Linked DNA regions of Saccharomyces cerevisiae S288C. Changing the gene in region 2 together with the main gene of any one other region gives a genetic interaction. Each region holds a gene or a part of one and is shown on either strand. Other genes may lie near its edges. The genes, in order: SMC3, RIO1 and CEP3.

Region 1 (12,914 bases), on a different chromosome or scaffold from region 2:
TATTTCGCTGCAGGGGAATTACTGTTTGTAGACGAGGGAAAGCAATTATCAGATACATGCCAGGGATAGCGTTCAAGGGGAAAGACATGGTTAAGGCAATACAGTTTTTAGAAATAGTCGTTCCTTGCCACTGTACGACCTGAACTTTACTCAACGAAAAAAAAATTGGAAAAAAAATAGTGCATAACGTTGCTATTAACAGATGTAGTACTGATATGTCCCTGATTGGTGAAGAGTCAGAATGATATAAGCCTATTTGATATGTACGTGTACGTATTCGAAAATAAGATTTGTTTCTCGTAGGGAGCGATATGTGCATTATGTTACCCGTTCCACATGTTTTGAACTTTTTTTCTTTTTCATGGTAAGCGTCAATAATCAATTTGAATAACTAGTGAAGAGTAGCTAGCACGATGAAATAAGTGCCGGAGCTGATCGAATCCCTAGTCTCGGTTCGCCTGAAACAGAGAGAAGTCGATTACTGTACACCGTGCCTCCTTCTATGTACAAGCTACAAGTGGTCTTGGTGCCTCCGAGTCTTCAGGCGACGATGCCAATACAGTTTGGCTACGGACCAACCATCGCCGAATCTTCTCAATTGTTGCCAAACAGAACTAATATGGCGCAAAGCGCCGGAGATGCCTCTTTGCAGTATGCTAATCTGAGATCTGCCAATGTGAGTTTCACGCCAAGCTATTTCAACCAGTCTAGGTTTAGGAAGTTTCTTTTGTTTACCAAGCCGACAAACACGCTGTTGAACTTGAGTGATGAAATCATCGATAAGTGTGAAAAAATGTACCCGAGTTTGCAAGAAGACATTGAAATTTTGAGTTTGCAAGATAACAGCGGTTGTGACCTTGATCCGGATTTTTTGGTAAAGGACGTTTTCAATGTAAATAATATCGTAAGAGTTATATTGAAGAATGAGATAGATCTGGACGATTCCGCACCAGTGTCACTTTATAAGTCGGTAAAACGATCCAAGTTGAACAACGGGTCGCCCCAGTCGGTGCAGCCGCAACAACAAATCCCGTCCTCTTCAGGTGTTCTTCGGATTGCCAAGAAGAGGCCACCTACAGGAACCACGACAACAACAACCATTCGTAGTGCCACTAATGGATCCATGAGGGTTTCTACCCCATTGGCTAGGCAAATTTATCCTCCACCTTCTTCGAAGATCGTCTCCAACAACTCAGATGACGAAGACGAAGACATTGGTGAAAGATCCTTTTTGCCGCCTCCAACGCAGCCTCAGTCACCTCCCATAAGAATTAGTTCGGGCATTGACGCAGGTAAAAAAATAAAATCAAGCATCGTCGAGGAAGATATCGTGTCCAGATCAGCAACCGTGGATCCAGATAAAACAAAGCAGCAACGTCTATTGTCCGGAACTCCTATAATGTCCACCATGACTCCAAACAGAGTTACTCTTACCGGTCAGAGAGTGGTTTCTGAACACGCACATAAAAACGAATTGGTTTTCTCTGCTTCAGCTTCTTCCTCTTCATTTGCTAATGGTGGCACAGCTGCTGTCACTGCTCAGGACATTAATAGGAAACCACCCGTAACCACTCCAAGAATAACATCAGGAATGTTGAAAATCCCCGAGCCAAGAATCTCAGAGATTGAAAAAGAGTTAAAAGAGGGACCTTCCAGTCCGGCCTCCATTTTACCCGCTAAAGCTGCAAAGATTCCAATGAAAAAACCTTACTTGGAAAATGGCGAGAACTACGAATCCGACGATAGCTCAAGTAGCGAAAACCAAGAAACTCCTGAAACAGAACCACATTCAAAGGCTTCCTTGCAACGTAGTCAAAGCTCCATCGCAGATAATAATGGCTCTCCGGTGAAAAATAGTCCTCTCGGTGATGCCATGCCACACAATGTGCATTTAGCAGAACTTCCCAAGGCAAGCAATACCTCGATCACCAAATCTTCAAATGGCGAATCCTGGGGAAAGCAACAAGAACATCAACCACCAAGAAAGAGTTCACTGGAAACTATAGTGGAAAAGAAATCTCAGGCGGAACCTTCCGGTATTGTGGAACCGAAAAGAATGACTAATTTCCTAGATGATAATCAGGTAAGAGAAAAAGAAGATACGAATGATAAACTTTTAGAAAAGGAAATTTTGCCGACAATTCCACATAATGATCAGCCAATACTTGCATCATCTGATAAGTCTAATGGGACGTTGAAATCACTAGCTGGGAAAGTTAGTTCAAACAACAACGCTTCAAAGGAAGATGGCACTATCATTAACGGCACCATTGAGGACGATGGCAATGATAATGATGAAGTTGATACTACGGTTCGTATTGTTCCTCAAGATTCAGATTCCTCTAGTTTCCCAAAGTCAGATCTTTTCAAAATGATCGAAGGTGATGATACAGATCTACCGCAATGGTTTAAGGGCAAAAATTCGAGAACTTCCGGTAATTCCAAAAATTCAAAGCCTTACACAACGGTTTTGAATAAAGACATAGACAATTCTAAGCCAGATCCAAGAAATATTTTGCCCCAGCGAACCCCAAGAAGTGCGGCTAAGAGGGCTGCCCAATTATTGGCAGGTGCCAAGAAAAACGAAGTCCCACAGAAAAGTACTGAAGATTCTAGTTCGGCAGCGTCCACAGACGATGAGTCAGAGAGTGGGATTGAAACAGATTTCTCATCAGACGATGATTTTAAAAGGAAAAATATGTCGGTGCCTAATAATGGGCCCAAAGACATTTCTTTACATTCTTTGAAAGGCAGTGTTGTTCCAGTGAAAGACTCAAAGATAATCAATAAAGAAGTTGATGAAGAAAGAAACGACAAAAGAGATAGTCAAAAAAAGTCAGCCGTGAGTGAATCTTCAGTAACAAATAGCAAAATAAGTGAACAAATGGCGAAAAGCTTTTATCCGAATTCAAACAAGAAGCAAAATGAAGCTACAAAGGTGGAAACTAAGCCAGCAACACAAGCATCGTCTTTTCCTGTTGTTGGTGGGTCTCCTTCTGTTGCTACTAAAGGAACTACCTCTTTCAATGAAGAAGGAAATCGTAAAAATGTTAAAACGAAGGCCAAGAATGAGTCTGCGCAGATTGATAGGCAGCAGAAGGAAACAACTTCTAGGGTTGCAGATTTGAAAAGCGCAAACATAGGAGGTGAAGACTTGAACAAGAAAGCAGAGGGGTCCAAGGAACCAGAAAAAGCATCTGCCAATATACAGGATGCTAACGATAAAAATAACTCGAAGGAAAAAGAAGACTCCAAAAGCAAACAGGTATCTCAGAAAAAGTTAAAAATGACAGATCACTTAAAAGAAGGCAATGTTCAGCTTCCTAAGCCCAGTGCAAATGATAAATTGAAGGATTTGAAGGCTAAATTTACTAATAGTAAAACACTCGTGCCACCTGGAATAATTTCTAATGAAAAAAATAATTCTAGTGCAAACGATGATGATTCTAGCTCCTCAGGTTCTTCCACAGAAGACGAGTCTAGTTCATCTTCCTCGTCTTCTGATGAGGAAACTTCAACATCCAGGAAGGCTAGAAGAGTTGTTGTAAATACACCAAGAGAACCAGTTAGATCTTCATCTAAGATTGAAGCCCCCTCTCCATCTGTTAACAAAAAAATCAATGCCACCCCTGATAAAATTCCAGTTACACAGCTAATGGACATGTCGTCTCCTCCGTCAGTTAAATCCAAGACCACCTCAAATCCGTCTAGTATACTTCATGACCTTCCAAGAAAAGTTCGTCCTTCTTTGAGTTCATTATCTGATCTTGTTTCAAGAGGCATCCCAGATGTAAAGGAAAAAACTTCTAAATCGAATGAGAAGTCACAAACAAAAGCCCCTTCAAGTAGTGATGATGAATCTAGCTCTGATTCTGACTCTAACTCCAGTTCGGACTCCGTATCGGATTCCAGTTCAGATTCTAAATCTGAGTCAGATTCTGATGACTCAGGGGATTCATCTGATGATGGAAAAAGTTTTATTAGTGCGAAATCCGCTAGTGCTGCTTTAGGTAAGAAGAAGAAGCCAAGTGGTGGATTTGCATCATTAATAAAAGATTTCAAGAAAAAATGATACCAGAAAGTCTCAGTAGAATACACGTCACAGAAAGCTAGTAAAAAAAAATAATCAAGCATATAAAAGTATTAATATATTAAAAAATCTTCATGTAAACCAATTCTTATTTACCTCTTTTCCCAGCAAGCGGGCAACTTCTTTAAGAAAAGTAATCTTTTTTGTACGTCGAATTATCAAAGCTTGGTTACTATATTTAACATTATTGTTTAGTAACAGTATCATCTTAAAAGAAAATTTTTTAAAATTCCAATATAGGAGACAATGGTAATAATTACATACAAATAGCTATTTATGTAAGCAAAACTGATATTTTTATATACAAATCGTTTCAAATATCTCTTAGACTTCAGCGAATTTATTGCTACCTCTAATGAATCCGATTGCTTCTTCTCTATTGACCTCAATAACCGTGGAAATCTTATTCTCGTACTTAACACGGAAAAATTTGTCTGCAACTTGCAACATATCTGTTCTGAACGTCGTACAAATAAACTGGGCATTTTTTGACAGTTCTTTTAGAAGTGTAGCGACTGCAGTTCTATACTGCTTGTCGAGTGCAGCATCAATTTCATCAAACAGATAGAAGGAAGCAGGGTCAACCATTTGGATTGCCAGAATCAAAGCAATGGCACATACAGTCTTCTGACCACCTGAGAGCTGTTCAACATGCAGTTGTTCGTTTTGTTTAGAATTGAAGGAAACAGAAATTGAAACACCTGTATACATAATTTCACTATCTTTACCGTTTTGGCTTTCATTGGATTCTGCATCCATGTCAACATCAATACTTTCATCATGGTCGTTAGCGTTATCATTCTTACGGTGAATAATCAACTTAGCAGTACCTCTGGGAACTAATCTTTCAAAAACAGCTTCAAAGTTTTCAGAAACCTTTTGGAAAGTAGAATCAACCGCGTTAACCTTTTGTTGTTTTAACTTAACAATTAGATCTTGAATTGAGTCTTTAGATTCATCCAGCTCTGAAGCTCTCTCCGCAAGGTCTTTGCGTCTTTCGTTAAACTTTTTGAAGTTTTCAAAAGCTCTCTTGTTTACATTCTTCAAACCAGAAATCTCTGTGTTCATATCATTCAGTCTTTGTAATAGCTGATCACTTGTGATGTCGCTAAAATCATTTACTAAAGCATCCTCTGGCAGAAGCCCAATTTCCCTAATCCTTTGCTGTAATTCTTCTCTTCTAGTAACCAAAGTTGTTTTCTTAATCATCGTTTTTTCAACACTTTTTTGGAAATTGTCAAGCTTCTTTAATAGTAATCGCTGTTGATTGTTTGCTTTTTCTAGCAGTTTCTTATTATTAGTTTCTTCAGCAATGAGACTTTCAATTTCTCTTTGAACGGTACCTAGTTCCAACACAGCGTTTTCATGCTGCTTTTCAACGCTTTCCTTCTCCAATTGTAATTCTTTCAACTCATCTTGTAGACCAAAAATAAATGCGTCACCTACTTCTGACATCTTGGATTCTAGATCATTTTCTTGTGGGATAAGTTTGGACTCCAATTCGGCATTCAACGAGTCAATGGTTGTAGTTATACCTTCTAGGGCGTCTGATGTAATATTTAGCTTATTGTGCGCTGCACTAATCTCCTTTGTTAAAGATTCTAATCTTTCCTTTTCTTCTTTTGAGAGTTCGCTATCAAACTCCTGAAGCAAATCATTTTCGAATGTATTTAGCTTTTCCTGAGCAAATGTACGATTTGTATTCAGCTTTTCTAGTTTTAGTATAATTGCGTTTAATGATTCTTCGAGAATTAATTTTTCATTCTTTTTGGTGTTTAGCGATGTTCTATATACCTCGATATTTGTTAAGACAGACTCCCTGTCATTAGAAACCTTTCTTATATTCCCGTTTACTTGATCAATCTTAGTATCAATATCATTTAGTTCATTTCTTACGAAATCTAATTCTTCCAGTATTTTTTTGTGTTGACTTCTTGATTCATTTAAGTTTTTCAATGATTCCAAACGTGTTCGTTTGTGCTGGTCAAGATACCCACCTGTAAGTACACCTCTTTTGTCTGCTCTATCACCATCTAAAGTGATGGCATTGAGTTTGTGTTTCTTAGCTAATTTTAAACCTTGACCTAAGTCTTTGACAACAATAGTTTTTCCAAAAACGTGTTTGACAGCCTTCTCAAACCTGGGTTCATATTTTATCTTCTTTATCAAGGGAGTAAACTGGATTTGTGTAGTAGTGTTTGAGGGGAATTTAACATCACTGTCCAAAGATAACCTGTTCAAGGGAATAAACGTCACTCTCCCACCCTTCATACGATATAGTTCGTTCATAATCAAAGTGGCCGTTTCTTCGGTATCCACGACAATGTGGAAGAGGGAGTTACCTCCAATTACTTCAGCACATGTCTTGTACTTATCATTGACTTTAATCAGTTCACCTAATGTCCCAAAGACAGATTCCGGTGATATTTTTAGTTTTTCTGTAATTTCTTTCACATTTATTATACCATTTGCCAATGATCTACTCATGGTTTCATTAACATTTCTTTGATTTTGATTGACGTCACTTAATAAAGTTTCCAAGACTGTCTGTAATTTTTGCTCCTTTCTCCACAATTCCTTACGAGTGTCTAAACTTTCACTCAGCTTCTGTTTGAGGTGTATTAATTCCGAATCAAAATCTTCTAATTGACCCTTGGTATCTGGTCCATTGATAGAATCAATTAGCTCTTCAATCTCTTCATCAATCGCAGAGTACTGCTTCCTTAAAGAAGTACGATCCATTTGCAATTGACTTTCCAGTTCATTTAAGTTTTGTATTGAAGATTTCAGTTCTTCAATTTCTGAATGAATCCACGTATCGCGTTCATCCTTTGATTTAAAACGGGCATATTCTCCTTTCTTTAAGATAAGATCTCTCTGCTTTTGTTGCAAGGAGGCCAATTGAAGTTTGTACATTGCTTCTTCCTTTGTGAGTTCTTGATATCTAGGTAAAATTTTAGACAACTTTTGTTTCCTTTGCTCAATTATAGATTTGATCTCTTTCAAAGTTGCACTATCCAAATTTCTCTGCTCCTCATTTGACTCAATTTGCTGTTGAACATCCTTTATTTTTACGTTGACGTTTGTTAATTTCTGAGAAATCTCAGATTCCCGTAGTTTTGCCTGTTGTAAATCAGTCGCATTTTTGATCTTCAGTGAAGCTTCAATACTTGATAGCTTTTTGGAGACTTGGTCAATCATATCCTCTCTTTTATCCAACTCCTGGATGTATTGTTCGGAAGAGTATACCGTGTTATTATAATCACCGTCCAGTCTTTCCATTTGATTGATAACCTCATTTAATTCTCGATCATACAATGTGAACTGGTAGATCTTTCTGTTGCGTTCCAACTCGTTGTATTTCTCTAATTCCTTACGTTCCTGTTCCATTTCACTCAATTTAGAGTTTAGTTCACCCATTTCCTTGTTAATTTGAATCTTTTTCTGCTCTGTTTCCTCCATTTTTTTCAATGAAGCTTTCAATTTTACTTCAAATGACTTAGCTCCTACAACATCTTCCAATAACTGCAATCTTTCCTTATCCTTGGCATTAGTTAAGGCGACTATTTTACCTTGTGGTACTATATTATACGGATTATTCATTGAAAAACCAGCGGTTTCCAACATTCTGACTATGTCCCCTTTGGTCACGTTTCTGTCATTTAATTGATAGTCATCCTTCTTCAGCCCTACTGTTCTTCTAATGGTCACTTCGTCATCTCCTCTCGAAAGTACACCGGAGGGCAATATCATAGAATGATCTGGATCGTGGAACACAATTTCTACCGAGGCACTCATCACTGAACCACCAGAACCTTGGTGGATAAGCCCTTGCCTTTCTTCCCTCTTAAGATTAGAGTAATCGTCACTAAGAACAAATCTAATCGCAGCGAAGAAATTCGATTTACCTGAACCATTGGAGCCAATAATAACATTCTGATGCGGCGAGAAATTATCAATAATGGTTTCGTTCCTGTAGGTTTTAAAACCCTTAATTATCACCCTTTTGATATACATTGCAGACGTGAACTATTACCGTTACTCCAGCAGGTCGTCTTGTAAAAAAATGGTGAAACTGTTTAAAGATGAGGTTGAAAACTCATCTTTAATTAGTTTAATCATTTCCTAACGCGTCGCGTCTTTTCCTATTCCTGAGACTTTTTTTCTTTAGGTTCCTAATAGTGAAATGTGACAGGTGTACACTTCGATGGCAGGCAAAAATAGAGCCAAAACTGCTTATAAGTTATTCCAAGTGAAAGGAGTTGGTTGCGAGAAGGGCCCAGAAGGTTTCATTCATTGTTGGTTTAGTGTATTACTAAGGCCGATCTTAACGTCTACGAAACGAAGTATGATACTGATCTCGGGATACTGTCTTTTAGTGTATAGCGTTATTTTGCCAGTACTGATATCGGCTTCTAAGTTATGTGATTTGGCTGAGTTACAACGATTGAACAAGAATTTAAAAGTAGACACTGAATCCTTGCCAAAATACCAATGGATCGCTGGGCAGTTGGAACAAAACTGCATGACTGCGGATCCAGCAAGTGAAAATATGTCAGACGTAATTCAACTAGCCAATCAAATATACTACAAAATTGGGCTGATCCAATTATCCAACGATCAACATCTAAGAGCTATTAACACATTTGAAAAAATCGTTTTTAATGAAACTTACAAAGGTTCTTTTGGGAAGCTGGCGGAAAAGAGGCTACAAGAGCTGTATGTCGATTTTGGGATGTGGGACAAGGTGCATCAGAAGGATGATCAGTATGCGAAATATCTGTCCTTGAATGAAACCATCAGAAACAAAATATCATCCAAAGACGTTTCTGTGGAGGAAGATATTTCTGAGCTGCTACGCATAACGCCGTACGATGTTAACGTCCTCTCCACGCACATCGATGTTCTTTTTCACAAACTAGCTGAAGAAATTGACGTTTCGTTAGCTGCTGCTATCATTTTGGATTACGAAACAATCCTCGACAAGCATTTGGCTAGCTTAAGCATAGATACAAGACTTTCGATTCATTATGTCATATCTGTTTTACAGACCTTTGTACTTAACTCAGATGCGTCGTTCAATATAAGAAAATGCCTTTCCATTGATATGGACTATGATAAATGTAAAAAACTAAGCCTGACTATTTCCAAATTGAACAAGGTGAATCCATCAAAAAGACAGATCCTGGATCCAGCAACATATGCATTTGAGAACAAAAAGTTTAGAAGTTGGGATAGAATTATTGAATTTTATTTGAAGGATAAGAAGCCATTTATTACACCAATGAAAATTCTTAACAAAGATACAAACTTTAAAAACAACTACTTCTTTTTAGAGGAAATTATCAAACAATTGATAGAAGACGTTCAACTGTCGAGACCTTTGGCAAAAAATTTATTCGAAGATCCCCCAATAACCGATGGTTTTGTCAAACCAAAATCATACTATCATACCGATTATCTAGTATACATTGATTCCATTCTTTGTCAGGCTTCTAGCATGAGTCCGGACGTCAAGAGAGCTAAACTGGCTGCGCCGTTCTGTAAAAAGAGTTTGAGGCATTCACTAACACTAGAAACATGGAAACACTATCAGGATGCTAAGTCCGAGCAAAAACCTTTACCTGAGACGGTATTGAGTGATGTATGGAATTCCAATCCTCATTTGCTGATGTATATGGTAAACTCAATACTTAATAAAAGTAGGTCTAAACCTCATTCACAGTTCAAAAAGCAATTATATGACCAGATAAACAAATTTTTCCAAGATAACGGCCTCTCAGAGTCGACCAATCCATACGTGATGAAGAACTTCCGATTATTACAGAAACAATTACAAACCTATAAAGAGCATAAACATCGGAATTTCAACCAGCAATATTTCCAACAACAACAACAGCAGCAACAACACCAACGACATCAAGCACCCCCAGCAGCGCCTAACTACGACCCAAAAAAGGACTATTATAAAATTCTTGGAGTATCGCCTAGTGCTAGTTCGAAAGAAATAAGGAAAGCATATTTAAATTTAACCAAAAAATACCACCCAGACAAAATAAAGGCCAACCATAACGACAAACAAGAATCAATTCACGAAACTATGTCACAAATCAATGAAGCGTACGAAACATTAAGTGATGACGATAAAAGGAAGGAATACGATCTTTCCAGATCAAACCCCCGCCGCAACACTTTTCCTCAGGGGCCTAGGCAAAATAACATGTTCAAAAATCCAGGAAGTGGCTTCCCATTCGGAAATGGCTTTAAAATGAATTTTGGGCTTTGATGAAATACATTCTATGCCCATTAACTAGGATACCACAACAAGTACATATATATACATACGCATATCACTGAAAGTTCTAATTATTGCAAAGCCAGCACTTTTTTAAATATTGAATTCTTCTTCATCATTTTCAGTACCAGCGGTAAGAGATGCTGTGTGAATTTCTCGCAGTTTATCCATGATTTCAGTAATGAACGGCCTCAACTCATTGATTTCTAATAGACTTAAATTATCCAATTGTAAATGAGATTCATTCAAATACTTAAGGCCTTTTAACACTTTGATCTGCCTTATTTCCCTTAAGTCTTGTATTTTACCACGTAATTCGTGAATGGGGTCATGAAAATCATCCTTAGCTTTATTGAAAAGTATACGTGCCAAGACAAGCCAGTTCCACGGCAACTCACTAAACCTATCCGGATGAGTTTTCTCATATTGTATTTTTCTATCAAGCTCTTTCGTCGTTAACCACTGTGGTGCTACAATACTGCACTTGGATTGTTGCTTCAGTAATAGAGCGATCCAAAGAACCACTTCTGTAGAACGCATGGCTACCATATTATTTAAAGCTTTGTCATCTGTAGTAATAAGTTGCCAGCGGGTGTGGTTTCCAGTTCCTCTATCATCGCCACGAATTTTTTGGCGTGTTGTTATTCTGGGAAAAATCTTTATTGGCTCGTTTTCCACAATGAACTGTATTTCTTCTGGTGAGAAAGTCTGCTGCAAATGTGCCGGTAGTGACATGCGTCTATGAAACTAGTCTTATTTCAGATCAGCCGTTGATCCTCTCTAAGTATAAAACTCTTTTTTGTTAACCATTTCATAGTTACACTTTAGGCGACTGATTTTTCATTAAATGGAAAATATCACAAGAAATTTCACGCTGGAGAAAAAAAAGGTTAGTCATCACTGATCTTCCCATGGAGTCATAAGCACGTTCGACATAAATTGTGAAAGTTAACACATTTGAAGCTAGGACCGTCAATCTAGGACACTAGTCGGTTACTTTTATCATGTGGAGGAGAATATTCGCGCATGAACTCAAGTATGATCAACCCAATGCATCTTCAAAAAACTTGATCCTTTCAGTTCTGAATACAACCGCTACAAAACGAGAGGCTAAGGATTATCTCTCAAAATATACAAATGATAGTGGGCAGCATAATCATTGTTTGTTTTTTATCAGGGACCTGCATAAAGTCGCACCAGCGATTTTGTCCCAGTTTTCAAGTGTCATAAAGAGACTAGGAATGCTAGGTTTGCGACCTATGTTTGTAATTCCGCCGTCGCCAACTCATGTAAATATACAGGCAGAGTTACTTGACAGTATCGTTACAGAAGCAGATTTAAAGCCACTTCACCTTAAGGAGGGTCTTACTAAATCCCGCACTGGGTTATATCATTCTGTTTTTTCGCAAGAGAGTCGTTTCTTTGATATTGGAAATTCCAATTTTATACCAATTGTGAAACCTTATGTGTATAATGAAGAGACTGCTTCAGAATTCATGACAAAGGATGTTGTAAAATTTATGGATTGCCTGTGCCAAGGGAATATTCCACACATTGACAAATTCTTCATTCTAAATAATGCCGGAGGTATACCTTCGGGAGAGAGAAATGATAACGCTCATGTATTCATCAATCTTTCTCAGGAACTCGAGCATTTGTCCTCGTCATTATCTCACAATATAAGCACTCTAACCAAACGAGAGCCACGCTCCCAAAACCTGTTACACAGAATGGAGGTGTACGTTAAAAAAGATGAGATATCTTCCTTAGAATGTGAATACCATGATCATTTAGAAAACCTGTTATTGATGGACAAAGTTTTATCAAATCTAGCGGCTACAGCAACGGGACTGATTACAACTGTCAAAGCTGCCGCACTATCATCAGATAGGAAAAATCCTTTAGTATATAATTTATTGACAGACCGATCGCTAATTTCTTCTTCTTTACCAAGGTTTAAAAAAAAGGACGGCGAGATAGACTCACCAGCCAACATGTTTGATGATCACGCATGGTATGAATTGCCTTCCCAACAGGTAAATGCAGCTCCTTCTAACTCAGATGCAGTTTTAGTGACAACTGTTCTCAAAAAGGGCGTCCATATCAAAACTTATGACTATAAGACGCTGACTCAATTCAACTCAATTGGGCTTCCAAAGAAGTTTCACGTACCTGAGAAAGGAGCAAAACCCTCGAGCAATAGTCCAAAACTAGATATCAACAAATTTAAATCCATCATCGATCAGAGCTTTAAAAGATCTTTGGATTTGCATGACTACATAAAAAGGATTAATGGAAAAATAGCTACAATTATTGTGATAGGTGATTATGAAGGCATTGCAATTCTTACCTATGAAGGCTCGGAGGAAAATTCCTTTGTTTATCTCGATAAGTTCGCCGTTCTACCACACTTGAAAGGCTCGCTGGGTATATCTGATATAATCTTCAATTTGATGTTCAAAAAATTTCCTAATGAGATACTTTGGAGAAGCAGAAAAGACAATGTGGTGAACAAGTGGTATTTTCAAC
Region 2 (5,738 bases):
TAGTGACTAACATGTTGAGGGTTTTGAGCAACTTCCCATTAATGAAATCATCTTACGAACCAATTACGGGATATGGGTTATTAAAATGCATTTTGTTGTTAAACAGGGCACGATGTGCCAAATTCTTGAAAACCAAGTCCTATGATCAACTAAAACTGCTGTTTATCTCTTTATCACTTCAGAAAACTGACAAAGAAGAACTCTCCGAAGAAAGTGAAAACGACGGAAACAAGGAGTTGACTATAAAACAAATAATAACTGGGTTTGATGATGTTGATACAGAAATGCTGTGCATTCCTGCTGATTTTATGCTTCAGTTTTTAACTTGGCTTTTAATTTTAACAGTTGATTGTCCAACCACCAATTCTAAATTGGATAATACAGAGACTCATGATCAATGGGGCAATTTCAAAGTCTCAGCACTCAATCTCCTTAGAACTATGAATCCAGACGTGGTGGGCGATATAGAATCACATTCCATAACGTTTCAACAATTTTCAACTGCAATAAGAACTGTAATGCCCAATCTATTAAAACCATTAGAGAATTTAATGGAGCATTTTTTTTATTTGCAGCACGATTTAGTTGATCATGACACAAACTTATCGTCTATTCAGGATTCTAAAGTTATGACTCCAGCACTGTTGGCACAGTTATCGACGGGACTACCAAAGGAATTATTTATTCATAAGCTACAAAGTTTATACATCGGCAGGAAAAGTGGCTTCTCAATGAGGTCTTTGCAAGCAAAGGTGTTCAAATGGATGGCGCCTTCGATTTTAGTTGTTAGCGGAATGAGGATAACAAATTCTGAAGAATACGCAGCTGAGAAGAATCCAAGATACCGCCATTTTCTTGAAGAATTTCCTAAATTGAAAGAGTCAGATCAAATGATGGATGCATCGCATTTGAATAAAAGGAAAACTACTTTCGCTGTGTACATAGACGATCCGTGGAAAGTAACAAATAAAGATTATTTTGGCGATCTGAATACGAGAATAATAGAAATATCACCCAGGCAGGATATTTATAAAGTCAACCAAAAAGGCACGATCTATTTCAATACAATTGGTGGCGGAATTGGAATCGGGGATAAACAACCATTAATAAAACCAGCATCCAAGAGATACATACCAGGGAACGTGTCGCTTACTTTTGACAGCACATTAGAATTTGCTGTGTTTAGAAATACTGGTTACGGAGGTTCATTAGACCCTGGTTTATTGTCGATGGAAAGAAAGGAGGAAAATTCCCCTTATGAATTGCATTTTTTGATTCAAGATGTTGAGGTATGGGGCTGTGGTGGTGAGAAAGAACTAGAAGAGCAAATCAAACAGTTGGAATGGGAAGAAGCAGAATCTAAAAGAAGACAGCAAATTAACCTGAGAAGCTTGGGAGAAGACCGTGCCTTACTGGAAATGGCAGGTTTAGTTGGCCAACATCAAGGTGGCGGTTCAATGTGATGCCTGCCTTTTTTGCTGTTTTTAGTTATTGGGATTGATTTCACTAAAAATCAAGACCACTAAATAAGGCTATTGTTTATTTTAATATTTATTGCACTTGTATGAAAAGTACCAAACTTTTGATACTGATATTACACTTTTAGTCTTGAACTTTCTTCGTTAAATTGCTGACCTACTTTCTGTTCTTCGACTCCAAACAACGATTCCCAAATGTATTTTCACAGGGCCGCATTATTTCTTTGATTTCGTTTTTTTCACCAATTTTTTCTTGATGTGCTTCTTGACTTTTGTTTTCCTTTTTTCTCTTTTTGCATCTTTAGCTTCCTGCTTGCGCAATTTTTTTAAATCCTTGTCCTCATGTTTCTTCCCCTTTAAAACTTTTGGTTCATCATCGTCATAGTACTCGCCCTCCTCCTCGTCATCTTCTTCAGATCCGCTTGAGCCGTCTTCTTCATCATCTGAGAATTCCTCTGTGCCAGAACTACATTCGTGGTCAGCGTTATCAAATTCAAATTGCTCAGAAGCAGCAAAATTGCGTTCATTATCATGGGCAATCAAGCTTTTCAGTAAGTCAAACTTACCATCAGTATACCTATCAAAATCTCTTTCCTCTAATCCACCCAATGATCTAACTAAATGCAGCGATCTGAATATTTCATCTTCTGCCTCATCTTGTTCTGTAGATTTTATTGGTAGATTACTAGCAATGTATGCAACCAAGGCGCTAATATTGTTATAATCACCTTTAAATTTCTCCAAAGTTTCTGATATGACAAATTGAAAAATAACCCTTTCAGGGAAAATACTTATACCCATCTTCTCGAAATAAAGGTTAACGTTTTTGATATCCATCCTTAAAAAATCTAAACTCATTGGATGTTCAGGTTCCACACTTTGGGAAACATCGATCATATATAGTTTATCATCATGAACTATGGTGTTATACTCTGACAAATCGGCATGAACCAGGCGACAAACTTGGTACAGCAATCTCATATATGCCACCATTGTGTGATAATAATGGAAAATTTCATCACGATTCTTGTACGGATAATCTTTTAATTTAGGTGAGGCAAATCCATTACCTCGGCTTAAAAATTCCATAACTAAGACGTTGTTCTTAACTTCTATTGGCTTAGGAGCTGGAATGACGCCACTTTGATAAATTCTTTTCAGGTTCCTAAATTCCTTTTCAGCCCAAATTTTAATCATTTTCCTTGGATTATGTTGAGATCTGGAATTTCTAAATCTAAATTCACCATCAACATATCTTTCACGATCTTTGAAGACTAGGATAGAGGTCTTATAAATCTTAATGGCATATTCTGCACGGGATCCGTCTGTCTCTAAAACTTCATACTGGCCTGTTTCCTCATCTATTACGGGTGCCTTACCGGTACCTGCAAAAGCGTGGTAAACATTAGCTTCTTTCCCAGTACTTAAGCAACCGTTCAAATCTGCAATCACACCTCTGGTGACCATAGACTTCAAAAATCTCATAGTTCTCGGATCTAAGACATTTTCCACAGTCGCCCTATTTGCTTTATCCTTTGATGTTTTCGCTCTGCTGAATGATAATTCATCAGTTTTTATTTTGTGACTATACTTCTCTAAGAGCTGATTATTAATATGGTCCGAGGCACCTTGCGACACAGACAATGAATCAAATTTATCTTCCAAGGACATGACCTTCTAAAAATAACGGAGTTTGAATCTCTAAATCTGTTTTAACTTCTTTTTACTATTATTTTTAGTCTTAGTATCTCATCTCATCTCAATTTCTATATTCCACTATAAAATTTTTCACTCTTTCTGCGCGCGCCAATGTCCCCGCAACTACTCAATAGGTAACATGAGAATATTTCAGTTCGTAAGAGAGAAGAGATGAAGTTATTTGGGCTCTTTGCTCGAGGTTACAGAAGGGCCGCATTAGAGTGAATGAGCTGATGATATTTCGCCCAGTTCTACATTTTTTTTTTTTTGGAAGTATGACCTCTGTTAAATTTTTTTTTTTTTAAATTTCACTTTCTAAAGTCCCAGAAATCCGCTTGAATGTCTTACATATTGCAATGGATATGCTTGGGTGATCATACTTCCTGGCTTTAGATATTTGAAACTTAACTCTTGTCAACAAACTTCCTATGGAGTGTATAAGAATTGTAAGTTATAACACCGGCGAACAATCGGGGCAGACTATTCCGGGGAAGAACAAGGAAGGGCGGTCTTTTCTCCCTCATTGTCATAGCAAGGTCATTTCGCCTTCTCAGAAAGGGGTAGAATCAATCTAGCACGCAGATTGCAAACACGGCTTAATAATATGCCTATCAGGCATTCACCCGTGTGACGAATCGCACACCGCTGCTCTCCTTAATTCCCTAGAGTAGAAACCGAGCTTTCAGGAAAAGACTACGGCAGTAAAGAATTGCTTTACTGGGCGTATAAAACCGGGAGAATCAAGACATTCTAATGACTTGATTCAGGATGAGAGCTTAATAGGTGCATCTTAGCAAGCTAAAATTTGGACAGCTCTCATTACTAAATTAAGATAGAAAAATGCCTGCTACTTTACATGATTCTACGAAAATCCTTTCTCTAAATACTGGAGCCCAAATCCCTCAAATAGGTTTAGGTACGTGGCAGTCGAAAGAGAACGATGCTTATAAGGCTGTTTTAACCGCTTTGAAAGATGGCTACCGACACATTGATACTGCTGCTATTTACCGTAATGAAGACCAAGTCGGTCAAGCCATCAAGGATTCAGGTGTTCCTCGGGAAGAAATCTTTGTTACTACAAAGTTATGGTGTACACAACACCACGAACCTGAAGTAGCGCTGGATCAATCACTAAAGAGGTTAGGATTGGACTACGTAGACTTATATTTGATGCATTGGCCTGCCAGATTAGATCCAGCCTACATCAAAAATGAAGACATCTTGAGTGTGCCAACAAAGAAGGATGGTTCTCGTGCAGTGGATATCACCAATTGGAATTTCATCAAAACCTGGGAATTAATGCAGGAACTACCAAAGACTGGTAAAACTAAGGCCGTTGGAGTCTCCAACTTTTCTATAAATAACCTGAAAGATCTATTAGCATCTCAAGGTAATAAGCTTACGCCAGCTGCTAACCAAGTCGAAATACATCCATTACTACCTCAAGACGAATTGATTAATTTTTGTAAAAGTAAAGGCATTGTGGTTGAAGCTTATTCTCCGTTAGGTAGTACCGATGCTCCACTATTGAAGGAACCGGTTATCCTTGAAATTGCGAAGAAAAATAACGTTCAACCCGGACACGTTGTTATTAGCTGGCACGTCCAAAGAGGTTATGTTGTCTTGCCAAAATCTGTGAATCCCGATCGAATCAAAACGAACAGGAAAATATTTACTTTGTCTACTGAGGACTTTGAAGCTATCAATAACATATCGAAGGAAAAGGGCGAAAAAAGGGTTGTACATCCAAATTGGTCTCCTTTCGAAGTATTCAAGTAATTGTTTTTGCGTGTTTCTCGTATGATTGTAATATGTAGATAAATTAAACATAAGTATATCAAATGTCGATATTCTTAAGACTGTTTCGTAAATATGTTAAATACCGGATGTGACTACATATAAAAAGTGCGCCTTTTACAGTGATAATTAGCGTCAATCAATAAAATATTTGTAAAATAGGAAGCGAAATCCCGCAGATGCCAGAATAGGTGGTGTATAAGGCAAGAAAACTTTACCTGCATAAATTAGTATTGAACACCAATCAAGTAGTCAGCCAATTGCTCGACAATCTTGGTGGCCTCACCGGCTTGTACGGTTGGTGGATAATGAGCAATAATAACGGTTTGCTTAGTTCTTACACAAACAACACCCTCAGCATCATGTCTACCGTAGATACTTCTATCGTCAGCTCTCAACAACATGAACTTTTGGCCTTGAATATGCAAACCATTGCTTTGCAAACCAGCTGGATTGTCGAAGCCTTGAACAATTTCACCAATTTCGTTTGGTTGCAAAGATAGGCCACCAGAAGTAGCCCAAACAGCGTCACCTGCTCTCGAGTAGATGACAGCTTTGTCGACTTTACCGGTTCCTATTAAGTTATCAGTGTATGCTGTTTAAAAGTAGGAGAAAAAAACGGAAAGAAATTCATGTTTGAAATTTCATATGTTTTTTGATATTCCAGTTAGTAATTTACTCTGAGTGGTTAATCTTCGAAATTACGCGCATCAACAAAAATCGGGCATTGCCAAACATTGTCACACAAGCTAACCTCCGACTCAT
Region 3 (11,087 bases), on a different chromosome or scaffold from region 2:
AAAATCTCTACCACTACTTTTAAAAGGCTACATTCCATCTCTGGTCAAGTTACCATTTTTTATATATCGCCTGGGTAAAGAAGTTGATTGGGAGGATGAACAAGAGTGTCTAGATGGTATTTTAAGAGAGATTGCATTACTCTATATACCTGATATGGTTCCGAAAGTCGATACATCTGATGCATCGTTGTCAGAAGACGAAAAAGCCCAGTTTATAAATAGAAAGGAACACATATCCTCATTACTAGAACACGTTCTCTTCCCTTGTATCAAACGAAGGTTCCTGGCCCCTAGACACATTCTCAAGGATGTCGTGGAAATAGCCAACCTTCCAGATCTATACAAAGTTTTTGAGAGGTGTTAACTTTAAAACGTTTTGGCTGTAATACCAAAGTTTTTTGTTTATTTCCTGAGTGTGATTGTGTTTCATTTGAAAGTGTATGCCCTTTCCTTTAACGATTCATCCGCGAGATTTCAAAGGATATGAAATATGGTTGCAGTTAGGAAAGTATGTCAGAAATGTTATATTCGGATTGAAACTCTTCTACAATAGTTCTGAAGTCACTTGGTTCCGTATTGTTTTCGTCCTCTTCCTCAAGCAACGATTCTTGTCTAAGCTTATTCAACGGTACCAAAGACCCGAGTCCTTTTATGAGAGAAAACATTTCATCATTTTTCAACTCAATTATCTTAATATCATTTTGTAGTATTTTGAAAACAGGATGGTAAAACGAATCACCTGAATCTAGAAGCTGTACCTTGTCCCATAAAAGTTTTAATTTACTGAGCCTTTCGGTCAAGTAAACTAGTTTATCTAGTTTTGAACCGAATATTGTGGGCAGATTTGCAGTAAGTTCAGTTAGATCTACTAAAAGTTGTTTGACAGCAGCCGATTCCACAAAAATTTGGTAAAAGGAGATGAAAGAGACCACGCGCGTAATGGTTTGCATCACCATCGGATGTCTGTTGAAAAACTCACTTTTTGCATGGAAGTTATTAACAATAAGACTAATGATTACCTTAGAATAATGTATAACCTTTAGTAGTGAATCTGCGGTATCATAATAAATGAGATACATCTTAAACAATTTCCAGGAAACAGTAGATATTTGAAAAAGTGCAATAAATTTTTGAAATCTGCTGTTATTTGATCTAAAATCTTCTTCCAACGAATCTACTTTGTATTGAAAAATATCGAGCTCCCTCCTTATAGCATCCAATGTTTTTAAGGGAGGTTTAGAACTCTTGTTCAAGTATTGATCTAAATCTCTGTCTAATGAGATGATTTTCCAATACAAGACCTCTGTGCTGTTTTCTTCCCTGTAAACATCAACGTTAGGCAAATCCTGCAAATATGCTGCATGTTGTAATAGGGAGGATACTTCTGTATGAAGTGCAATTGGTTTGCGTGGCCCCGATTGAAGATAATCGCATCCACACAGGCGATAGAATATTCTTCCCAAGGTTACTTTAGCGATGCTTTCAACGGGGTCATCATTAAGTAAAGGTCTAAAGTCATCCACATGAAAATTTTTAAAGGTATGGATGCACTGTGTTAGGAGCGAATTTGCCAACAACGGTTCATCGTAGGGGAAAGTTGTAGTGGCTAAAATCAGATATGCTTGAACGAGCCTTATATCGGGATGCGCCATGAAATCACATTGTTTCAATTGGAATAATGAGCAGCGTGCAAAATTTTGGCACATGACTAATTGCATACCATCTTCCCAATTGAGCCTTTTGTTGCTACCCAAATATTCATGGAGAGGATATACTGAAAATATTTCTGCTAACTTCTCGACTGGCATATAATAAATGCACATGGTAAAGACAGACCATATTAGTGCGTCCCAGTATTTGCCGTCTACACTGTGATTCTTGTCTGCCCTTCTATCCCAGTACTGTTCCACCCTCAAATATAATTCACTGATATCTCCAATGGAACCAAAATACAAAGCACCTAAGTTTTCCATAGCAAAGTTCATCAATTGGAATGATTGGTCTTTTTGAAGATAATTCATCCAAAACATACATTCTTCAGTATCAGTATCCAAATTAGCTGGTGTTCTAGTAAGATCTCTTTGTTTTGTTTTGTACAGCCCAATATTCGTTATCCAATATTCATAATTTTGCCAGAATAACAATAGGTCAGGGAGATATTCCTTGGAAGATGAAGCCGTTATTAGTTTTGTTGATTTCATACATTCGGAGTCCTGTCCTCTCTTCCTGCAGTTTCCACACGGTATCATACGATCACATTTGACTTTTCGCCTCGTACACACGGAACAGGGATGCTTGGATTTCAGTTGAGTGGTACGGTTAAACATTATTATTAGGATGCAAACTCGTGTTCGTAACTTTTGTCATCACCTGCTCTCTGAAGGTTGGTTATAATATTTCATTCTCTTACGCTTAGCTTACATGGCTGCGCGCACTTCATTTAAAGCCGTAAAAAATAAAGATTTCATAGAATATGAAGCTTTGAATCTCATGTAAACATTTATATAACTATGTAACGAATTATTTATCCAATGAAAGATCCACATGGACTGATTTTATTTGTAAATAGTTATCAACGCCGGTGTCGCCTGATTCTCTACCAATACCACTCATCTTAAATCCGCCAAAAGGAACTTTAGCTTCTTCTTGATTGGTTTGATTGATCCAAACAGTTCCTGCTTTAATATCGCGAGCAAACATGTGCGCTTTCTTGACATCTTTGGTGAAGACCGCAGAGGCGAGCCCGTAGCAAGTATCATTAGCCAGCTTCAGAGCGTCATCATAATTTGTGAACTTGCTAACAACCACAACCGGGCCAAATATTTCATCACGCAGCAACTTAGATGTTTCTGGTACATCAGTGAAGATGGTTGGGGGAATGAAGTAGCCTTTAGCTCCACCAATAGGAAATTCAGAGGTCTGGAACATGTCCAACTTTTCCTCCTTTTTACCACGTTCTATGTAACTTTTGATGCGGTCATACTGTGTACTTGATATAACTGGACCAACGATGCATTTCTCATCAAACGGATCAAATTTTCCTGCAACATCCCACTCCTTCTTTGCAGTTTCTTTAAACTTTTCAACAAACTTGTCGTAGATCGAACTTTGAACATAAACTCTTGAGTTTGCAGTGCAGATCTGTCCCGAATTAAAAAAAATACCATTTGCTACCCATTCTATAGCCTTATCAAGGTCTGCATCTTCAAATACAAGAGCAGGAGACTTACCACCGCATTCTAGTGTGATATCCTTAAGGTTCGATTGGCCGGAAGCTTCCAATACTGAGCCGCCAACCTTAGTACTTCCCGTAAAAGATATTTTGTCGATATCCATGTGGGTTCCTAAAGCTTTCCCCACAACGGAACCATAACCAGGAATGACATTGACAACACCAGGTGGAAAACCTGCTTTTTTAATTAAAGTAGCAAAATAAAGTAGAGATAGAGAGGTATTTTCAGCAGGTTTGATGATAACCGTGTTACCGGCCGCTAAGGCACCTTGCATTTTTCTACAAGCCATAGCTAGAGGATAATTCCATGGAACGATTTGAGCAACAACGCCAAAAGGAACTTTTAGAGTATATGCAAACTTGTTAAAAGTCAATGGAATGGTTTCACCCATATTGAACTTGTCGACCGCCCCCGCATAGTATCTTGTAAGTTCTATAATCTGGGCTAAGTCTTGTTTAGCATTGGAATGGAAAGGCTTACCAGCGTCTAAAGTCTCTAATGCGGCAAGTGTGTCTTGCTCCTCCTCAATAAGTTTTAATAAGTTTGAAAGATAAATACCACGTTGCTCAGAAGATGTCTTCGACCAAACGTTATCAAAAGCAGCCCTGGCAGCTTTCACAGCTTTGTCTACATCCTTTTCGTTAGCTGCTTGGAAGGATGTTATCGGTTCGCCAGTAGCTGGGTTCACAGTTTCGATGGTCTTTCCATCTGATGATGGACAAAACTCATTGTTGATAAACAACCCTAGCGGTTGCTTTAAAGAGATTTTCAATTGTGGGATTTCGATATCAGTATACAAGGTAGGCATTTTTCTTTTGGCTAATTTTCTAAATGTGTATAATCTATATCTCTATGATACAAGTCCAAGGTATAATTACCTGGCATGAGTCAAATTTATTCCCATCCAGATTTGCCATTTTATACAATTAGTTTCTGAGGTATGATCAGTTAAATCTACGCTATTCGTTTGAACAATCTCCCTGTCTCCTCCCTAAACTTACTAATTCCTTAACCCTTAGGGAGTTTAGCAATCAGCTTAAGAAGGGGGCTGATCAACAATCCGGTTCAAGTCTTGGATTAGCAGTAATGAAAATCCCTAAATGCACTAAAGGGCGTGGAAGAAAGGTACTGTAGAGTTCTAATAGTGATACTTTCCTTGTACTCCAGGGGGGGAAGGAAGAACAGACGTCATATGCAGAAAAAGAAAAAAAAAAGACGGAAGATCTACGTAATGGTGGGAATAGAGAAAACTAACACGCAAGTATAATTTCTTGACACAAAAATAAATCTCACTGAGTTTATAGCTCTATTTTTTTACCATCTTAAGGGATTTCTAGGACCTAGTAACAACAATTGTTCCGCATGCTGAAATAATGGTGCTTACAGTTTTATATCGAGTAGTGGACTACTACTGTTTGCTAGACTGTCAACATATTCATCCGTCGTCAGGCTAAGCTATTTAGGTACTTACGCACTTACATAATGATAACTATCACATTAGTTGTCCAAAGAGAGATTTATGTGAACTGCTTTTGTTTGAAGATAGGTATCAACACCACTTTGCCCCAGTTCTCTACCAATACCACTCATTTTAAACCCGCCAAAAGGAACGGTAACATCTTCATCGTTAGATGAGTTGATCCAAACAGTTCCTGCTTTAATATCGCGAGCAAACATGTGCGCTTTCTTGACATCTTTTGTGAAGACCGCAGAGGCGAGCCCGTAGCAAGTATCATTAGCCAGCTTCAGAGCGTCATCATAATTTGTGAACTTGCTAACAACCACAACCGGGCCAAATATCTCATCCTGTAACAGTTTCGATGTTTGCGGGACATCAGTGAAGATGGTTGGGGGAATGAAGTAGCCTTTAGCTCCACCAATAGGAAATTCAGAGGTCTGGAACATGTCCAACTTTTCCTCCCTTTTACCACGTTCTATGTAACTTTTGATGCGGTCATACTGTGTACTTGATATAACTGGACCAACGATGCATTTCTCATCAAACGGATCAAATTTTCCTGCAACATCCCACTCCTTCTTTGCAGTTTCTTTAAACTTTTCAACAAACTTGTCGTAGATCGAACTTTGAACATAAACTCTTGAGTTTGCGGTACAATTCTGTCCTGAATTGTAGAAAATGCCAGCTGCTATCCAATCGATAGCCTTATCAAGGTCTGCATCTTCAAATACGAGAGCAGGAGACTTACCACCGCATTCTAGTGTAACGTCTTTAAGGTTCGATTGGCCGGAAGCTTCCAACACAAATCCACCGACCTTGGTGCTTCCCGTAAAAGATATTTTGTCGATATCCATGTGAGATGCTAGGGCTTGGCCTACAAGTGATCCATAACCAGGAACGATATTGACAACACCAGGTGGAAAACCTGCTTTTTTAATTAAAGTAGCAAAATAAAGTAGAGATAGAGAGGTATTCTCAGCAGGTTTGATGATAACCGTGTTACCGGCTGCTAAGGCACCTTGCAATTTCCAACAAGCCATAGCTAGAGGATAATTCCATGGAACGATTTGAGCAACAACGCCAAAAGGAACTTTTAGAGTATATGCAAACTTGTTAAAAGTCAATGGTATGGTTGCACCTTTGTCAAACTTATCAGCGGACCCAGCAAAATATCTGGTAAGCTGTAAAATTTGTGCCAAATCACCTTTGGCATTTGAATGGTAAGGCTTTCCAGCGTCTAAAGTCTCTAATGCGGCAAGTGTGTCTTGCTCCTCCTCAATAAGTTTTAATAAGTTTGAAAGATAAATACCACGTTGCTCAGAAGATGTCTTCGACCAAACGTTATCAAAAGCAGCCCTGGCAGCTTTCACAGCTTTGTCTACATCCTTTTCGTTAGCTGCTTGGAAGGATGTTATCGGTTCGCCAGTAGCTGGGTTCACAGTTTCGATGGTCTTTCCATCTGATGATGGACAAAACTCATTGTTGATAAACAACCCTAGCGGTTGCTTTAAAGAGATTTTCAATTGTGGGATTTCGATATCAGTATACAAGGTAGGCATTTTTCTTTTGGCTTATTTTCACGATTGTTTTTGATGGACATGCAATGTAAAAATGATAGGAATGGGCCAAAAGTATTTTTAAGGATTCGCTCCCTTTATATGAACATTCTTGAGCAAAATTCGGGATATGATCAGTGAGTGTCGACAAGATTGCATCCCTAATGTTTAAACGAGTTAAAAAAACTCATCATTGGATAGGAGTAACCAATAAAGGGTATATGATTGCTATTATTAGTATCCAAAAGCCGCCGGGAACATCATAGGGCGTTAGCAAGTAAACGCATGGCACGATAATGGCAACCTTGTTTCTTCTGGCGGCAAAAGATAAGGCAATGCAAAATAAAAAACGAGAAAAAAAAAATGATAGAAGGGAAAGATAAGCAAATTTTCTTTCGAGCTGGAACGCTTCATTTTAATCTCACGCATTTGCAACCCATGCTGATGTCTGAAGCGCTGACAAATACTTCATACGTTCTTCTTGTGACACATTAAGAGGTAGCACGGAGGTGCAAGTAAAGATGGCAAAAGTACGGAAAGTAAGAAGGAAGTTTGCGGGTCAACCAGTTGCCCTTACTAGTGTACGTAAACATATGTATATATGTATGTAAATATCTATATGCTGCACTGCGATATCGAGTAGGTGATAGCGTTGAAACCCTCAATAAGGAAGAAAACGTTATAAATTGCAATGTTTTTAAAAAATGGTGGCTCTGCGTAATACAGCGCAAAAAAAGATAACTGACCGGGGCTAGTGTTTCAGCCTTACTATCTCATGCATTTTCGTATTATATGCCATGCATCCTGCTTTCGTAATCATCAAATTCTGAAAATTGTTCGGGATCTCTCTCGTGATCATTTTCATCTTCGTTATCATTATCAACACTATCGAAAGATGCTTCATCAGTAATTAAATTTCTGCTCGTTCCAATAATTCGTCCGCTTATTGCTGATTTATCATTTTTCGAATGATGTTCATCGTCCGAGTAACTTGGTGGTAGCATAGGTAAGGAATCTAGATTAATTTCCTCATTGATGATCTTCTTTCCAGTGGGAGGGGACATAGTGAATTCAAATCCAGGTGGTGGCGGTAATATTTCACCGTTTCTTATAATTATATCATCATTGAGATTTGTAGTACTACCAGCCGCAATATTGTCGCTATCACCGTCTGAAAAATCTTCGTCGAAATCATTGTCTTCACCACCGCTTTCTAATAGGGTATCTTTACCGTAGTCTTCGTAAGAAGGAGGAGGTAATTTAATGCCGTTTGACTTTGCGTATCCCCATTTTTTAACGTTTGCTTCTATATAAACAAAGCCATAAGTGCCGAAATTCACATGAATTTGACAAGGTACGTTGGAGCCAATGATCGGGTATAGGTATTGGAATTTCCAGCCGCGGATATGACCACCAACAGATTTTTCATTTAGTTTTTTTCCGTTCCTGGTGAAAAATACTGTTCCACTACGTGACCTATAGCCAATGCCAACAATGTCTCCCTTTTCACACTGTGGAAATAACGTTCTTAATTGCTCATTTAGTTTGAAGGAGTCATTAAATCTTCTGGCGCCGTTAGAATCGTATGCTATCGAATGGTGGTGTCTTCCCGGTAACCTGAAATATGGATAAGGCTGTGTGGAAAGACCAAATGAGATGACACCTTTCGATACATTTTCATCACTGTTTAGTGGGCCATCCGTTTCAAATATCTTGAATTCACAATAATATACTTTATTTATACACGGAATGGGTAGATTTGTGGATATAGAAGCATCATAATTATAATTTAGAAAAGAAACCTCTGTTTTATTTTCCACTATGACAGTATGGTTTGGCATATCAGGATTTGGGCTAAACTCCCATGCATAAGCCCCCTCTTCTTGAATATATTGCCTTGTTTGCTCGTTCATAATAGGGTCTTCACGGGTGGTGTCTGGATTGCTATCTTCGGACTGTTGTAAAAGTCCCTGGTTAAGCAGAAATGGTGGGTTCTGCTTGATATACTCCTCACCTTGCTTATAATAAAACTGCTCTTCAGGTGACAACTGTGCCAGCTTATCTCTTACTTCATCAGCATCGTCAAGATTGTTGGGCCACCTTAAACTCATGTTTTCCATTAATCTTCTGCTATGAACGTGTGCATTATTTTCGTCATAATCGCTGAATAAAGATATTCTTTGGCCAGGGCCATGCTCATTATAATATGCAGTTATAAGCCGCGTAGCTATCTGTTTTGTAAAAAAATAAACGATACAGATGACGATGTAGACCACGATTAAGGTTCCAAACGCAAACAACATTATATCCATGTTAAGTTCGTCAGTATCGTCTCCCCCATAAGATACATCGCCACGGGGGATCACCGAAGATCTACCACACCGTATTTGTCCGCTTATCGAACCGAGAAGCAGCGATTCTATCAGAAACTTGAATGACATTTGCTTTTTTATATAGAAAAAAAATTTGGCTCTCCAAACTTTAAGATTTTTTATAATTATTAACCAATGACAATATAGATAACTTGAAACAACTCTTGAAAATTTTGTAGTTAGGCACCAGTCCTTTGGTTTTTCAATGTTCTATAAAAAATCACTCCTCCATGCAGCAGTAAAGCGCTATTCTCAAAAATAGCTCAACCTGAGAGAGGAAGAAAGAGCAGTAGTAAATAGAGCAAGGTTCTTAAAGCCTGTATCAATGAAATTTTGTTATGGCGTTTATATGGATAACCTGGAATTTGCCTTTTTTCTTTATAGCGCACCGTTCCGAAGAAAAAAATAAAAAAAAAGGGCCGACGGAGGGTTAGGTCAAATTAAATATTGAGCTAGGTTTAGTTATCTCTTTTTTAGGTTTTTTATATACAAAAAAGATTATATTTAGGGTACATATGGCTGGAGCATAATGTCTGGAATGGGTATTGCGATTCTTTGCATCGTACGTACAAAGATTTATAGGATAACCATCAGCTTCGATTATTCTACACTGATGAGCCCTTTCTTCTTATTCTTAATGATGCCCACTACATTAAAGGATGGGTACAGGATGAATAGTCAAGTAAATGAAGATGCTATAGGTATCAATCTTGACCTCTCACTGCCCACTCACATTTCGCCTACGACTGGTTCAGAGAGCGCCAGTGGCAGTAACGCCAGTACACTTCGCAACGATGGAAATGCACTAGATGGAGGTCTTTTGAGGACTTCAGCAGCGATTTCAGCACCCACAGGTACCAGTCAACCAACAGAAACTATTGGTGAAAAACTGAGTAATGAAGAGCGGGTGAACTCGAATGTTTCCGCTTCGAACTCGACAACGGCGGGTACAGGGCGTATGTTAAGCCAATCCTTGACTAATGATTCACCGTCGAACGAAATATCGACGGATCAGTTGAAGATTTTTCAAAGAATGGACGAAATGAGTGCCCGAATGATTGAGATGGAGGAAAGCTTCAACAAGTTATCTAATAAGATCGCGGAACAGAATACAATGGTTTTAAACCTAAAACAAGATAACTATAAAGTTATGAACAAATTGAATATATTACTTAAGTTGGTTGCGCAGCCAAGCGCGCGCCCAAGCACAAACAATGCCCAAAATAAGCTTGCTATCGAATTGCTAAATTCGATATCAGCCGTTAGTAGTGCTTACTTGCAGAAAATGCAGAATAATGGCTCTGGTAGACAGCATACTGCTGATTTATGTACAGGAGATTCCAACACCCATTCTGGTATCAACCAGCATCGGACTACGAATGGAACCATAGATGTGAATACGAATACTGCACAGCTAAACAACCAATTTTCTAACGCACTAAATACTATCTTACCTGATCAGCAGCATAATCGAAATAATGTTTCCCAAAATATAAACCAATCGCTCCCTAACCGACAACTTGGTCCTGTTATAAACACACAAGCCAATCAGAACCAGTCGCAGGTTTTAATTCATAACACAAATACACATCAGCAGGTAAATCGCTCGCCTATTAGTTTCCCGAACGCTTCAACTGACAAGCCATTCAAGTTGAACCCAAATGGGATTAAACGGCGCAGAAGAAATACGCAAAGTAACAACAATGCGAGCACAAATGACCATGCTAGTGCTGCACAAAAGCCCATATCAGCCCTATCTCCATTAACGAATTCTCATAATTCTACAACTAGCATGAATTATACCAATTCTTCCATTCATTCAGGCGTCACCAGTGCTTCAAATTCATTTCATGACTTAAATTCATTGAATAACTTTGGCACGACAACAGCTTTAAGTTTGCCCAGCTTAGCCCTAGATAACGCTTCTTTTCCCCCAAATCAAAATGTTATACCCCCTATTATAAATAATACCCAGCAGCCTCTATCATTTTCCCAATTGATCAATCAGGATAGCACGACATCTGAATTGTTACCGAGTGGTAAGTCAGGGGTGAACACGAATATTGTAAATAGAAACAGAGCTTCTACTCTACCGTCGTACCCAAAACCAATGACAGTGAAAAGTAATGTCGACGATGATGGCTATCAAGAGGATGATGATGATGACGGTGATGACGAAGGTGATGGAAGGGATAATGAAGAAGACAGCACTGCTGAGGAAGATGAAGTAGATGATGAAATCGAAACAGATATGAAGAACGCTTCGATTAACAAGCGGAGGAGGAGCTTGCATCATAAAAAAAGTAACTCTTTAAACGGTAGAAGAAAGCTTCACGGCGAGTCGGCTACTAAGCCCAACATAAACTCTGATTTACATTATAGGATATTGAAGGCTCCCACTGACGTAAAGACTATATGGGAAGAGTATGATACTGGAATAAGAGGAAAGCCATCGATCAAGCATCTT

What was found.
Region 1: mutations in RIO1 (region 2) and SMC3 together harm fitness more than expected from each alone (negative genetic interaction), as found in Saccharomyces cerevisiae (one study listed by BioGRID).
Region 3: mutations in RIO1 (region 2) and CEP3 together harm fitness more than expected from each alone (negative genetic interaction), as found in Saccharomyces cerevisiae (2 studies listed by BioGRID).

Annotation. Positions count from the first base shown.
Region 1 is NC_001142.9:294,743-307,656, forward strand, and holds SMC3 (cohesin subunit SMC3), read right to left. Parts: upstream 8,108-12,914; coding exon 4,415-8,107; downstream 1-4,414. Other genes in the region: ICS3 (Ics3p), read right to left, coding at 1-319; YJL077W-A (uncharacterized protein), read left to right, coding at 57-143; NET1 (Net1p), read left to right, coding at 503-4,072; APQ13 (Apq13p), read right to left, coding at 3,718-4,134; JEM1 (Jem1p), read left to right, coding at 8,439-10,376; DNA replication protein PSF2, read right to left, coding at 10,479-11,120; ARG2 (acetyl-CoA:L-glutamate N-acetyltransferase), read left to right, coding at 11,390-12,914. UniProt on the Saccharomyces cerevisiae protein: Involved in chromosome cohesion during cell cycle and in DNA repair. Central component of cohesin complex. The cohesin complex is required for the cohesion of sister chromatids after DNA replication.
Region 2 is NC_001147.6:547,098-552,835, forward strand, and holds RIO1 (protein kinase RIO1), read right to left. Parts: upstream 3,150-5,738; coding exon 1,695-3,149; downstream 1-1,694. Other genes in the region: RTC5 (Rtc5p), read left to right, coding at 1-1,463; glycerol 2-dehydrogenase (NADP(+)) GCY1, read left to right, coding at 4,017-4,955; PFY1 (profilin), read right to left, coding at 5,201-5,568. UniProt on the Saccharomyces cerevisiae protein: Required for the final endonucleolytic cleavage at site D converting 20S pre-rRNA into the mature 18S rRNA. Required for the final steps of cytoplasmic maturation of the 40S ribosomal subunit.
Region 3 is NC_001145.3:596,832-607,918, forward strand, and holds CEP3 (Cep3p), read right to left. Parts: upstream 2,328-11,087; coding exon 501-2,327; downstream 1-500. Other genes in the region: mismatch repair ATPase MLH1, read left to right, coding at 1-364; aldehyde dehydrogenase (NAD(+)) ALD3, read right to left, coding at 2,521-4,041; aldehyde dehydrogenase (NAD(+)) ALD2, read right to left, coding at 4,731-6,251; EAR1 (Ear1p), read right to left, coding at 7,037-8,689; HOT1 (Hot1p), read left to right, coding at 9,150-11,087. UniProt on the Saccharomyces cerevisiae protein: Acts as a component of the centromere DNA-binding protein complex CBF3, which is essential for chromosome segregation and movement of centromeres along microtubules. CBF3 is required for the recruitment of other kinetochore complexes to CEN DNA.